Linked DNA regions of Oreochromis niloticus. The protein of the gene in region 2 purifies or fractionates together with the protein of the main gene of each other region. This does not show direct contact. Links are inferred from orthologs where the notes say so. Each region holds a gene or a part of one and is shown on either strand. Other genes may lie near its edges.

Evidence for each region.
Region 1: the proteins of selenos (region 2) and derl1 purify together in Homo sapiens (affinity purification with western blotting; 6 studies listed by BioGRID and IntAct, with this or other methods). This does not show direct contact. The link is inferred for Oreochromis niloticus from reciprocal best matches to the Homo sapiens genes SELENOS and DERL1.

Annotation. Positions count from the first base shown.
Region 1 is NC_031976.2:12,326,049-12,333,210, reverse strand, and holds the start of derl1 (derlin-1), read right to left. Parts: upstream 3,097-7,162; 5' UTR 2,909-3,096; coding exon 2,756-2,908; intron 1,338-2,755; coding exon 1,226-1,337; intron 1,118-1,225; coding exon 1,053-1,117; intron 399-1,052; coding exon 372-398; intron 1-371. Other genes in the region: tbc1d31 (TBC1 domain family member 31), read left to right, coding at 4,661-4,731, 6,863-7,006. UniProt on the Homo sapiens protein: Functional component of endoplasmic reticulum-associated degradation (ERAD) for misfolded lumenal proteins. Forms homotetramers which encircle a large channel traversing the endoplasmic reticulum (ER) membrane.
Region 2 is NW_020327524.1:62,435-70,471, forward strand, and holds the start of selenos (selenoprotein S), read left to right. Parts: upstream 1-4,766; 5' UTR 4,767-4,972; coding exon 4,973-5,069; intron 5,070-5,346; coding exon 5,347-5,472; intron 5,473-8,037. Other genes in the region: chsy1 (chondroitin sulfate synthase 1), read right to left, coding at 264-586. UniProt on the Homo sapiens protein: Involved in the degradation process of misfolded endoplasmic reticulum (ER) luminal proteins. Participates in the transfer of misfolded proteins from the ER to the cytosol, where they are destroyed by the proteasome in a ubiquitin-dependent manner.

The DNA.
Region 1 (7,162 bases), on a different chromosome or scaffold from region 2:
CACATCAGCCTGGCTCTGTCCAAAGAGAGTCAAATCCACTTACCAGCACGCTAATAGTTAATTTGATGCTCTTTAATCTGTGCAACTTTACTTTTTCCTAATGCAATTTCTTGGCCAGGACCAGAAAGAAATTGTCTGGATAAGCTTTGTGAAATGCCGCAGAAATTAGTAAGCTTTAGAGGAGCAGGTGGCAGCGTCTCTGCAGTGTTTATTTTTTTTCTCCAAAATGTAAACCTTTCCTTTTTAAAGTGGGTGTCTTGTGTTATGAAACACTCCTAAGATTTCAAAGGACGGTTGTAAACAAATGCTTTATATAGATGCTACAGCAGTCTACATGCAGAGAGAGAGAGACAGACGAGGAAGATTCTCACCTGCATGTTTATCAGCAGCCCGGTTATCTGCAGGTTGAGTCAAGGACGACAACAATACAATCACAGCTGGAGCTCTACAATTAGAACAGCTGGGGACCGGGAGGTTGCCTGTTCAAATCCCCTACACCGGTTTTTGGAAGCTGGCAGGCACCTCTGCCGTTTCCAGTTGAGCAAGGCATCTGACCTTGGAAGGTTACGCCTCCCACACTTTTTTTAAGCTGTTCTCACCATTTAGCTGAACCGACAAAGACTGAACATGTTGTTTGGATGAGGTAGAGTTTTGCTGCTTTTCCCATATAAAAGAGAAATGTCTGAGCAGCAAGCAGCCAATCTAAGCTGAACTCTCACAAGAAGACAGAGAGCTGAGATGTGGGCCTGAGTGTACTGCTGGTGCTGCATGTGACCTAGATTAGGTTTCTCTGCTCTGCAGGGGTAGACTGACACCGGGCCGCTGGCACAGAGCCACCCTGACATGGCACACTGCTGCAGCGAACGAGAGAGAGAGGCAGAGAGAAGATGAAAGAGAAATGCAGGAGAGATCAAAAGCAGGAGGGGTCAGAATGAATGGTAGAGTGGGAAATAGGCTAACAGCGAGGTAACTGGATGACGAAAGAATAATTTCCTGTTAGGTAGATTAAAATGTGAGATTTTAAAACAGGAATTGCCAATCTGAAAGGATACAACTATGCAGATCCAGTTGAAGAGAAGCATGAAGATATAGTCTGCAGGCCTGCCATCAAATGACCCTGGTATAAGAAAAAAAAATGAGGATGAAGATGATGATGACACAAATGAATACAAGATGCTAGAAAGAGCGCTGTATGTTTAGAAACCGCTAAGGCCGGTGATCTTACCTGTCTCTAGTCGAGTGGAGTAATGGTAGAGGAAATATAGGTTGACCAGGTAGAGGAAGCCGGTATTAGGGGTTATAGGGAAATAAAGAGTGGCTGTTACCGGTCTCCAGATCTGAAATAAGCAGAAGAGTTATTAACCCAACAGAAAAGCAGTAAGACATCAACGTCGCTGTGCCTGTTTGCACATCCAGATGTTCACCACCAAGTCTGTAACACATTAAGTCTCATGTGGGTTGCAAATTATTACTTCCTGTGTGGTATTCCTCTGCAGAGTGTGTGTTTCCTCACAGAAAGATTTGAAAATTGGTAAAAGAAGTCAAATCAATACCACATTTAAATGTTAAATTCCCATTAATCTGGAGGCAAAAGACAAGATGCAGTCACAATTTAAAGAAGTGTCTGATCATACCATTATCCAATTTTTGTGCTGTCCAACAAAAAAAAATAATCTTATTTTGTTGTTTGGGACTTGACAAAAGGTTAATAACTTTTCAATCAACAGAGTCTCATATTCAGTGCTTTCACACAGCTTGCGTGACCATCTTAACTATCACTTAACAATTTATAGGCTCATAAAGATCAGGGGGTTATATATAGTATACTGACTCTGCACTACTGCATTTTTATTTCAGTTTATTTTGCTTTCTTTTATTAGCCACACAATTGGCTGCCTACATAATGAAATTAACTGTGGTTTTAATCAACATGTCCTAAGATTAATAATCCACAGCAAGAAAGTCCAATAATTCCAGAAGGTGTATGGATTGTTCAGTTAAAAGAAGCTTATTCATTCACTTAAGAAAACACAGTAATACCAATGCAAACAAAGTACATAGCAAAGTACTGTATTAATGCTGTAATTATGTATATTTAATATTCTTCAGATTATCCCTTAACTATAGCTGTGAGATATATTTCCATTTACTGAAGGTGGAATGATGACATTTCCTTCTAAGTTAAGTACTAGAACTGATATGAAGTGAATTACTTGGTAGCTACTTTTCAGCACTTAAAGTGATCAGACTGGTTGATTCCCTTTGCCCTGAGCTGTGTTTGATTACTGATTTACACCTATGCCCTAACCTTGCATGAACCCACTGTTAACCTGATTTAGAGGCCTTCACAGTGCCTGAGGGCCTAATTTCATAACATCCCCTGCAATACTTGTCTCCACCTTGTGGACGAGAGCGCACTAAAACTAACGTATATTATCGCAACAAATGCTTTAAAATAAAACGTGTCTCTACTTCTCTGGTAATTAAATTATAGAAAATATGTATTTGTTTTCACTCGTCTTATATTTAGTTTACATTTCAGCGTTACTACATATCCAAGCATTTTGACAGCATCCGGAAGTCCCACCCTCCTGCGTCTCGTCCTCTCATTGGCTGCCCCACACTCAGGCCTGCTGAGTTAGCAGTGCTAGCCACCTGCTAACTAACTCCTAGTTTCCAAAAGACAGTAACTCAGCATTTGTTCGCTATCTAATCCAACAGACAGACAAGTTACCAAAAACCAAGAAACACTCACATGAAATCTGCTGAAGACCATCTCCGGAAATAGCAAGAGATTCCTGAAATCAACCAATCCCAGTTTGCCTATAAGGGGAACAGCAATGGAGGCAGCGAACCAGTACCGGGTGATGAAAGGGATGCTTCTGAACCAGTCCCCGATATCTGACATCTTTCCATAGGATTACTGCCAACTTTGAGACCTGAAATAAAATTTCCTCTTTAACAATTCCCTAAAGTCCTTCCCAAACCAGCGACTGCTTCCTGTCTTTATATCACAACTGCTCCACTGTTAAGTTTACATGACGTGGCTAATCACAGTGAGCTAGCTTCAAAATACGACGAAGCCACTGACATCAGAGAGGAAACATCCGGTTTAGCTTCTCAAAGTAAAACCTAATTGACAACTGTTACCACAGACTGGATGAAACAAAAATCTTTTTTACTTACTTTGTGACTGTTACTGAACTAGAAACAAATAAAATTATAAAAATATAATTGAAATTATTATTATCAATCAACAAACTACGTTTATCCGAGGCAAATAATGGCCCACCCTGGTTACAACATGTTCAGCCTGCTTTCCTCAGGGAAGCGCTACAGGTGCATCAGCACAAAAACCCACAGAGTCAAAAACAGTTTCTTCCCTAATGCCATAACCACCCTGAACTCACACATGCACAGATAACACACACATAAAATGAAGAATTTTAGAGGAACCTTTCCTGCTCGCACTGTGTAAAAGTGTTACAAAGGTCCTTAGGCAGTATGATCAGTTCGTGCGGTCATTTATAATATTAAGGATGTGCATAGTTGACGATAAAGTGTAAATAGATGCCAACCCGTGTGCTTGCACATATATTGGCCAAATTTGTTTCTAATAAGCTCTTAATTTAAAAATTTAAACCGGATGTGTTTTCAGTATCTAACAATATCTTGATTGCCTTGCATTTTATTGCACTTCCTGTGAAATTTGCAAACACGCTCACTTGACCATCCAGAGGCAGCCAGCAACACAAAGAGGCGTGCCGAACGACGCAGGTCTCGCGGCCCCCTGTGGAGATCTAAACACAGACCACAAGAAGAGGACTGGGGAAGAAATAAGGCTTTTTAAAAAGTGGTGGCGATCAGTTAATCGTAATTATTTATCCCAGGGTTCAGTTGCTGGAGTTTACCTTTTATCTTTCACTCTGCCTTTAAAGAAGAGGGTGAAGGATTTCGATTTTTTACTTACATACTTAAGTATTAGAATGGCTTTTGGATGTCTGACATATGAGATAACAAAACTTTGATAATAATAAAAACAACAAAAACACTATCATAATAAAATGAATAACTGGCAAACTGGGAGCTTTACTGTGTGGATGTGGATGAATGTATGAATAAATAAATAAAATAAACAAATATACACTAATACATAAATAAACGTCATGTATTTAATTTTAAATGTTATTTTAAAATAAAAATTTACTCAATATTCACTTTTTTTCTGGGTATTGTTAAAAAGGAAAAAAAAATTTACAGGGGTAACAAAGCCTCGCCGTTTACGCTCCTTGGCCACGCCTTCTGACGTATTTCGTCAATTTTGGGCGACAAAAAACTGTTCTCAAAACCAACCAATAAAATAAACAACAACAATAACAGGTGAAGAAAACCTGTTCGTAGGGGGTCAGCTAAACCTTTAGGGCACTACTTAAATCTGAATTACATTGCTAAGCTTTTATCGAGAGCATAAACGGCTTCTCTGCTCATTACCGCACTTAGTCAATGTTACTCTTTTAAATTTGCCGCTGTTTACCCCGCCTGTTAACAGATTAGCCGGCTAATCTGTTAGCGGAGAAGCCATGCAATATCATAGTGACATTAAGTTTACTCAAGCGGTGTTTTGTAAATTTACCTCCTGAACTGTGTGGACTTTTTGAAAATGGAGGTGACGGACATTGGGAACAAAGAGGAGGGTAAAATCTGGTATCGAAAGCCAACACCGGGGAAAAGGTAGGTTTAATTTTCCCAAAAGTCTTATTTAGTTTCTCAGACTGTCAGCAGCTGATGCTGCACGGACTCATTTACATGCGGGTTATCTTTATTACACATACCGCTCTAAGTTGCCAGTTTTTATTGCCGTGGTTGCTGTATTTTGGCACTATTACTGTGAGTATTTCTACTGTTTCTGTTGGTATTTACATAACGAATACTGATTCGTTACTACTGTTGTGATGAGTTATTTTATTTACTAATTGCAATCAAAGATTTAGTTGTGTTTTACGACTTTATTAAGGCCGCAGTAATCCTGGAAAACTATGAAACTTTAACTGTAGTTCTAGCAAATTGCAGCTTTACAAATGATTTATGTTTGAATGTGAATCAAATTAAAGGAAATTTTGAATAAATAAATGAAAATCTTCTCTACAGGTCTCTGACTGGCTTAACGAATATAAAAATATTGCGACTAGTGCTCTGTGACCTCTTCCAAATTTCACCCCAATGAAACATCCATGGAGGAGACATGGATGAAATTGTCTATGGCATTTATTTGTTTGCTTGTTTAGTTCAGTTTCTTTTGAACATGGAAGCAGTATAAAGAAAGTCATGCAGAATACACTGCTTCACTTTGGCTGACGTAGTTTACATATCCAAAAGAGTAGGAAGAAGTGCGCACTTATTTAACCCCACCCTTTGTCCATAAATCCGTTATTGTTTATCCTGCCTCTTTATTGATATAAACCTCAATAACAACAATATACATATTTATAATTTCACTTTCACTTGCATTTACATACACTGTGTAAAATACAAAATCCATTTAACCACCCATTCTTTTTCAGCTTATCTGATTCTGGGTTGTTGGGGTGGGGGCTGGAGCCTATCCCAGTTGCAATAGAGTGTCCAGGTACACCCTGGACAGCATCATGCAGGCCAATCATCCTTACACTCACACCAATGCAAATTTAGAATCACCAGTTAACCTAATCCCACTAACTGCAGGTCTTTGGGATGTGAGAGGAAGCCAGGGACAGAAATATTACCATATGTAGTTTCTACAGCTCCATAATTTTACATCCTCTCAAGAAAGACAAATACCTCCAACTTTGGTGTGTTGATTGCAAAATCTGAATAAACCTGGAATACCAACTAATTAACCAGAGACATTAATTGACATTCAAACATCTTTCTCTTTCTTATACCTCACGAAAACCATATCTTTATACCTTTTTCTGAACTGCTTTATGTTGCACATTGCTTCAGTTCGAAATATTTTCTTGTAGTACGCACAGTGACTGTTTTAAAGTTGCAAAAACCCTTAACTCTTTAGCCCTTGAAACCCTACTAGGAGTAAAACCTTGGAGGTCTTTTGTCGCTTTCTGTCATATTTGGTTATAGAACAGAACGAGTGAGTGTGCGTCAGAAGTTAAAGAGGGTGGTCTCTGCCTCTGCAGCTACCCTTGAAAAAAAAATGGAAACATCACATGGTCGTCACACCACATCTTTGATGTATACTAACGTGTCATAACTCATTATTAAGGGTCCATGGGAGGTCATCAGATGTCATCTTGGGGTCGTTAAATTATGTAGTTAAATTACGAATTCCTTCTCTTACAGAAAACATGCTTTGAATGTCTCGTGCTCTTTGATTATATTTTGCTCTGAACGAAATTTATGCAAAATTTGTATAATACTTAGTATCAAGCAAATTTTGTTCTTGTCATTTAGGTCATATCCTTGTTGCTAATCATTCATTTTTAGGACATTGGTTATTGTTTTTAGTAAATATTAAAAAATGCGAGAATGATCTATTACTCACTCGTTTTCAAGCATTCTGTCACACCACCATCAAGGAGCCCAGTGATGAAATTTGATTTTGATTTCAGTTCTTTTATAAAGAATCTGTGCCAGTGAGAAATTGTGCTATTCCTAAGGTAATGTTAATGTAGCTCCCCATTAAGACACTTTCAATAATTTTTCATCCATCAATATTCCACACCTGTGTAAGTAAGACCTCAGGTGGTTGCTGCACATGTGGAGAGAGAGAGGTCTTTTCCTAGGTGACCACTAGGGAGCAGCCATGATTCACTCAGACACTCTTCATCTTTCGTCTCTGATGAGGTGTGTTGTTTGCCTTTTTCAGTGTGTTAGTAGTGACTGTGGTCCGCACTGCTCAGCAGGCCAAGACGGTGCGTTTCCTCCACGTGGCCTTCGACACCACCGGTGATTCCTTCCTGGCTGGGGATCACCATGGCAACATTTATGTTTTTGACATCAGTAGAAACAGGTGTGTGGCTATGAGTGACACTTGGTTATTTAGTATAAATGTACAGAATTCTGTATTGTTTAGGATTTAGGACTTTACTTTTCAACCAGGATTGTTTGATTCATAAATGTTCTTCCTGTGAATTAGAATATTAAATATATTCAGAATGGAGTCTTA
Region 2 (8,037 bases):
AAGTTAAAGGAGTTTTACAGTCAGTTTTACACTCCATACGAGCTGGTAGCGGACAGAACATTGCTATACATTTCACATAAGACATAATGTGGCATGTTTTTGTGGTAACATATAAATATTATTATATTTCACATTATAATAAGTATAGCCGGCTAACTAAATGGGCTACTGTACAAGAGGCCCGTGCACCATTGTTTCCAAGTTTATTTCTTTTATATTAAATTGATAGGTTTGGGCATTGTTCTCCAAGTCGCATCACATACCTGTGTGCTGCCACGGCACGGTTGTTCAGGTACTTCTGGGCAGTCATGACACCAACAAATAGGAAATTGTTAGATCTGGAAGCAGATTTCTCGGTCGGCGGTGAACCGTTAACTTCAGGCCACAAGACTCCCCCGTATTCTTTTCCGAGACCCCCGTTAAGCCCACACCCGGCAGAGTTGGCTTTTCTTTTCTGTCCAGCTTTCTTTAACTCACTCGCCTTGGGTAAAATCAGCCTGGAAGCCAGTGTGAACCCAACAACCAGTCCCAACAGAACACTAAACCAGGCTCTTCGACTTCGACCTGCCATTCCCCCAAACTTCATTAGCTCTGTCGGTAAAAGCAATAAGCAAGACTAGATCGTCTCGATACAAATACTAAAGACTGGGTCGATAGAGCTCGTTTTCCGCCAGAAAACCGGGCTCACGCGCAATCTCTCATGGTAGAAAAGCCCTTTTCTTCCAGATGCCTACGTAGCATCGCAACAGTCTTACTGAAGCCGTCACTTGAACAATTCTCTGTCCCTGCTCCTTCTGGCAATCAAGCTGTCCCCCGCTGTCGATCATGGACGAATTTAACAGCGATCGAAAAGCGCAGTTGCTTTTTATCCCTTAGCGTTCAATAGCGGTCCGACTCTCACCATTATCTCGCCATGGCAAGAATGTCGAGAAGAATGATCGCGAAGGGTTTAACAGTGGTTTGACCCAACGGCAGTTCCGTAGAAATCTTCTAATCGCCTCCACCCCCGTGGCATAGGGCCCGACGGTGCTGCCTTTAAATTGCGTATGAAACCCTACTCACACATCTAAATTCATCTGCTGTGTAAATGTAGACAAAGCGTAGCTTCTTTTTGCCATAGTTCATAAATCTTTATATTAAAGCAGTAGTAGTTATATAGTTAGTGACTATAAGTGTCACTAATGCACAAGCTATTGCGTGAAACTGTTCTAACAAAAGTCAAATTGCTTGATTGTGTACACATGCTGATAATGCTAAGTGTGACATGTAAAACCCTATTAACATAATATTGTTTTTCCAAGACAAAAATTTGTATCGGTATGTCATTTTATTACACTGTCATTTATTAAGATTTGTCTTTTACCTTTATCTGTGGCCGATAAAAGAACAAGTCACAATAAAGTTTTGAAAGTCTAACGTCCTTAAATGCAGCATGCTTGTTCTGTGATCTAGCGCCCCCAAGTGATTGTGGTGGTGTTCGTCACCACGTCGAAAACTGTGCCTTGTCTTCATTGTGGAAGATTTTACAGCATGTTTCTTTTTAGGCCGCGTCAATAAGTCACAATAAAAAGCGCTTCTGACGTGTATTAAACTGACGGTCTCTGTGAACTGCAACGTTCTGCTGGGAAAACCTCATGAAAGTCGTCATGAAAGACTGCCGGCACTCTTTTTTTGACACATACCACCCTCTTAAGAAACAATGGTTTCCCTATTTGTCAAAAATGTCAAACTGAACATTCTGAAATTAAACGACACAATCCTTTGTTATTAACAGTTAAAAAAAATTAAGAAGATTTATTTTCAAGATTTTTCTTGTTTGTGCTTTCAATTGAGATAATAAAAAATACTGAGCACAAAATATCACCATGTTTACTTTTAATTCTGCAATACAAAGTACACCTCCCATATATATGTCATTTCGATTCAATTTTATTTCTATAGTGCAAGTCGCACTTTATATTATAAGGTAAAGACCCTGCAATAATAGAGAGAAAATAACAAAAATCAGACGCCCCCCGATGATCACATGTTTGCCAACAGTGGTAAGGACAAGCCTTTTTTAACAGGAAGAAACCTGTAAAATCCGGCTCAGGTAGTGTCAGCCATCTGTTTCAACTGGTTGGGGGTAAAGGGAGAGAGATAAAAGGCAAGTCCTGACTCCTCAGGACTTCTGGCAGTACAATCCCTTCAATTTGACTACCATCCCTCTCTTTGGTTGTTGACCACATTCCCATCAAATTCCTGATGAAGACTCTTTCGGTCCTGTTCATCTTCTATAGTTCTAAGCATTTCAGGATTCATATATGAGGGACTGAGGGCTTTCTTGTAGCCAATCTAGGTGTTGCATAGGTTGGTCAGTGTGGTCTTACAGTCTGAAGTGACTCTGAATTGCATAAGAGGAGGAAAATGGATGGATAGATCAGGGCCACCAGGGCCATATTTACCATTGTATACCATCCTGCATTCTTTTAACAACACTCAATCAAATGTCTGGGAAATAAGGTGTTGTTCGCAGCAAAAATTTCTGGCACAACTTCACCTGCTTCCAAGGTGCATGGAGAGGATAAAAGAATTCAAAAAGCAGGAACTTCAACAACACTTGAGGGAAGAAGAACAACTTTAATAATTGACCAACGCGTTTCGGCTTGTGGCCTTCATCAGGGTCACAGTAAAACATTGTAAAGAATTGCTTAAATACAAGACAGGAAACAGAAAAAAATGAAATTCAAATTAACCAGTCAAAACTTCATAGATAGGTCAGCTGACATATAATAGGTAGGTATTGGTTAATTGGTTAAGTCACACCCAAGTAAATACTGGACTAGATCATTAATGATGAGGAGGGGGGGGGGTTGACATGGGGGTGATATGGGGGTTATGTCCCCCCCCCCCCTTCCTCAAGTGTTGCTGGAGTTCCTGCTTTTTGAAATAAGATGTTGTTGCAATTTTGGGAGAGGAAAGTTGTCTATTTCTTGTCTGATATGAATTCTACCTGCTCAACAGTCCTGGGTCTTCTTTTTTCTTTTATATTGTGCAAAATATTTACAATTATATTTATATAATTCTTCTCAATGGGGTTGGGACTATCAGTTGTGTTGTACAGATGTCTGGTTGGTACACAGATGACAGCCCTATTTGACAGCTATTAGAAATCATATTATGGCAAGAACCAATCAGTTAACTAAAGAGAAACAACAGTCCATCGTTACTTTAAGAACTGAAGGTCAGTCAGTCTGGAAAATTGCTAAACCTTTGAATGTGTCTCCAAGTGCAGTCATAACAACCACCAAGCGCTACAACGAAACTGGGTCACATGAGGACAGCCCCAGAAAAGGAAGACCAAGAGTCACCTCTGCTGCTGCTGAGGATAAATTCATCCAAGTCACCAGCCTCAGAAATCACAAAACAACACCCCAGATTAGAGCCCAGATAAATGCCACACAGAGTTACAGTAGCAGACAAATCTCTACATCAACTGTTAAGAGGAGACTGTGTGAATCAGGTCTTTATGGTCAAATAGCTGCTAAGAAACTACTACTAAGGAAAAGCAACAAGCGGAAGATATTTCATGTATTTTAAAGACAATACATTAAGAAACAGATTATATTAGATTTATATTTCAAATATGACAAATGCTGATTTTATAGCAGCAAAATTATTATCTTTAAAGTTTAAGCATTTAATAAGGCAGAAAGCCTTGCACTGAGTGGATAGTCAAACAAACTGAATCATTATAAATACATTATTTTATATTTATTACTTTTCAGAAAAAATTCTTATTACTTTATTATTATAGCACTGGAAATAAATAATAAGGAAATGATTCTGGATCAGCACCATAATTGAAACCTGTTGCTGTAGTATGCAAAGTATTCTGGAGAAGGTATAATATGTCACTGTACGTGCATGTGCGTGTGCATGTTTTATGTGTATAGATATTTTAAAATTATTACTCACAATATAACATTGTCCAGACAGGCCCTGTAAGGAGAGGAGGAGGAAACAGTGAATACATGAGCTACAGTGGCTCTCTCACCAACTGGATTACAAAGAGCACAGGTAACAATTACACATGTACCAGTTGTTGCATTGCAGAGGTGTTCAAGTAGAAAAACAATAATAAACACAACTACAATGTTTTGGTTCTATAACATTTTTCTATCATTACTTTATTATGGATTAATGGTGCAAGAGTTGTTAAGTGTGGATAATAAAATAATAGATTAATGCAATAACAAATTGTGCCTTGTTCTCAGATGAACAGCAAATGGACAGTGATAGATGAGATGAGGAGATGGAAGGAGGAAGCGAGGCAAAGAGTAAGTCACAGGCAGAGCCTAGTTTATTTCCCACAATTTTTTAAAAAAAAAAATCTGTCGCCTTATGGTTCCAAGCACTGTCACAGATCTTTGCATTTTAGGATTATCTCATAACACTTGTTTAATCAGCTACCAGCTCTCCTATGGAGATTTTAATGTCTACAGTCTCAGCTCTCCAGCACTATCAGCAACAACCCATCAACAGCAACACTGTACCCCATCAGGTAAAACATAGGCTACGTTTGCTTTGCATTGTCCCCACCTGATGACGATGATATAGTATTCTTTGGTGTTGTTCTGGGATCTTTTGTAACCTTAATAATTTAGAAACTGCACTTTGTGTTTACTTGTGTTATCTTTTCCCAACATTTAAATTTGTTTGATGATCTGTGTCTCTAACCTTTATTATGAAAGGTATGAAGAGGAAGTGACCTCTTTTGCGTGACGTGGTCGTGTGCTAGAATGAGTCATCTGGCTTCCGCCAACACGTCATCGTAAATAACCATCTACATTTTGTGTAGCAAGTTTTAAAGAAGATCTTTGGCAAAGAAATAAGTTACCATACAAGCTAATACAAGACTGATAGGTTTTCAAAACTACTCTGTACAACGACGCTTTTTGTGACTGAAACGGTCAGTTCATTTGAGTGTGGAATGGATGATGTAACGAGCGAAGACGATTATGATTCCACTTTCCATGTGAAGAAGCCACCCTTAAAAAACCAAGACTTGAGTTCCCTAAGCCTGACTGGTAAGCTTGCACGTTTAATTAGCCAACTTAAATAATAAAGAATATAGGAATACAGTTACTAACGTCCGTAAGACTTATCTGTCGTTCCACTGTAGCTCATGTTAAGGTGGGATAAAGGCGACATGTTGAGCTGAAGATGGACCCCCAAATATTTAGTATTTAATTCCTTTAAGATTATATTTATTGAAAAAAAAATGTTGTTTCCAGCGTTTCGTTGTTAACAATATCACAGCTACTTAGATTATTGTTTATTTCTGTTGTAATTGAATTACTGTAGTTGAGGAGTTCGTGGCCCATTATGGCTGGTACCTGCTGTTTGGAGCTGTAATGTTCTACCTGCTCATTCTGCACTTCAACAAGAGGAGATCAAGCCAGCACAGCCCAACGCCACAAGACTCACAAGGTCAGCACAACTCATTTTATATTTGTACACAGGGGCGGATCTAGAGAAATTTTCTTAGGGTGGCATGAGGGTGGCAAAGAAATCAAATGGGGTGGCAAAATCAAAGCCTTTTTTTTCAAACACATATGCAGGTGGTTACATATGGTTAAAATAATTCAAATGCAGTAAGTATACACGTTTTTCATATAAATATAGTCTATAACTTAATTATTGTCTGTAGCCCACATAATTACACACCGTAGTTACATAAAACATGTGAGTTTTGATCTTATGTACTGTATAGCCTGTATAATAAATAAATATGTAGCCCAATAAGTATAAAATCCAGAAAGCTACACAACACGGGGTGGTTCATTTACAAACACAAGTCTAACTTAAGTTTCACACTGTTTTTTGTTAGAAAACAATCCCATTGTTACATGCTTAAACTACACAAAATGTCAGAAATCTGCACTGTCATGAACAAAAATTTAAACCTAATTTTTCATGATTTGTTGGATTAACCCACTGAGGTCTGAAATACAACTGGACATTTTTTACTCCTTTTGAGTTTACGTTTGTATTTCACCCTCAAATTGTTTCATTTTATTTTATTCCTCCTTGCCTTGTTTGGTATCATTCTTTTCAGCTCAACTGAATTTAGTTGTTTTTTTTCACTGACATACTGCATTAGTATTACTGATCTGAAATCACACAAAGAACTTAAAATCCTAGTAGTATTTTTTTTACTGTAAAAAAAACCCCACAGGCATGTTGAGTAAATTTTTATAACTTGAAATGCAAATATAAAATGTACATTTTGTAAACATATACAACTATTTATCTAAAAATGCAGCCAATACACCTGCCGTTTTTTTCATTTTGTACAACCATTTCAAAATATTACTAAAACTAACCAGTAAAAAAAAAGGTTTTCCACCAAAAGACAGAGGAGAACATCACAGGGATAAACCTGCAGGCTTGACAACAGGAGGTGTATCACTCCGCTGGTTTTCTACTTAGTGACAGTGTTTACATTGCAAATGTGCCTTTGTGACATTCATTAGTGCCCTCACTGACACACAAAACAAAACGACTACACAACAGAACAGCTACACAAGACAACACAACACACTAAGTATACACTCCACACTAAACGTCACAAATCTCCCACATCTAAAAACTCTCTCTCTCGCTCTCTCTCTCTCACTCACTCGCTCTGTTTCGCTGCCGTTACCGTCACTCTCAAAACTCTCCCCTCTTCCTAAACAACCAAATCCCACGTGTTGACTTTTTTTTAAATTGGTCGATATGGTACATTTTTCCACCGATAGGAAAGAGGTGTTTTTTTCCCCTTTCTTTACTGTTTTCGCGCTGTCCTTAGAAAACGCGTCAGGAAAAGTCTGGAGAAAGCGCCAGCTTCCAATTTGGGATTACTTTGAATATGACTGTGTTTTGGATAAAGCAAGTGTCTTGTAGTGGAAAGAGACAAATTATGAGGGACATTTCTAAAGGGAAAAACATCCCACAAACCTTAAAGTGCACTTGAAAAGCTCACACAAGAAGGCTAACCTAGCTTACCTGGAGAAGGTAAGGGAGCACACTCAACCCTCATCCCCAGAAACAGAAGCTAACCCCAGGCAAGGCAGCGTGATGCATCCCGAGACAACAGGACTGGGATATCTACATAACTGTGTGAGTCAATTGCCTTAACACCCAGTGCTGCAAGAGTTAATAGTCTCATTGGGGCCAAGATATACATTTTATAGTTGCCTGGTATCAATGGTTGTTCATCTGCCTTTATTTATTTATTTAAAGAACCCATAGGTGGGAATGTGAGTTGTCTTTCTCTGCGTGTTAGCCCTGCGACAGACAGGCGACCTGTCCAGGGTGCAGGGTATGGTAGCTGGAATAGCAACATACCCAAGGATAAGCAGAAGAGAATGACTGATATGATGAAACTGGGATTTTGTTACACTTTATTGCAAACACAACTAAAACTATAACTGAAACTAATCAAAACTAAACTGAAACTAAGGATTTTCAAAAAAATAAAAACTAAACTAAACTAGCAAACAATTGGTAACAACTAATTAAAACTAATATAAAATTGAAAATCTGAAGTCAAAACGAAATAAAAATAAAAACTAATGAAAATTGCAAAACTATTAAAACCCTGGTGATTTGGCGGTGCAGCGTGTCCGTGGACCACAGAGGGTTAATAACACTCACCTTCCTTCCATTTCCAGAGTGTAACATCCAACCACCTGTGTAAAAAGCGAAATTCCCATGGTGTTGTTCAAAATGTGCTCTGGCACAATCATAAACATCGCTAGCTACCGAAAACAAGAAAAAAGCCGGACCTGCTATGGGCTGAACCATTTGTTAATGGTGGAGGGGGGGGAACACTATGCAATATATTCAGTTTTAGCATTTATATTCACTGTTGACTGTAACTATGCTCAAACTGTTAATGCTATCTTATTTTAATAAACAACACTGTCATATGCAAAACTGGGGTGGCACTTGGGGTGGCAAGGGATCATTTTAGGGTGGCACTTGCCACCCCATGCCACCCTTCTAGAT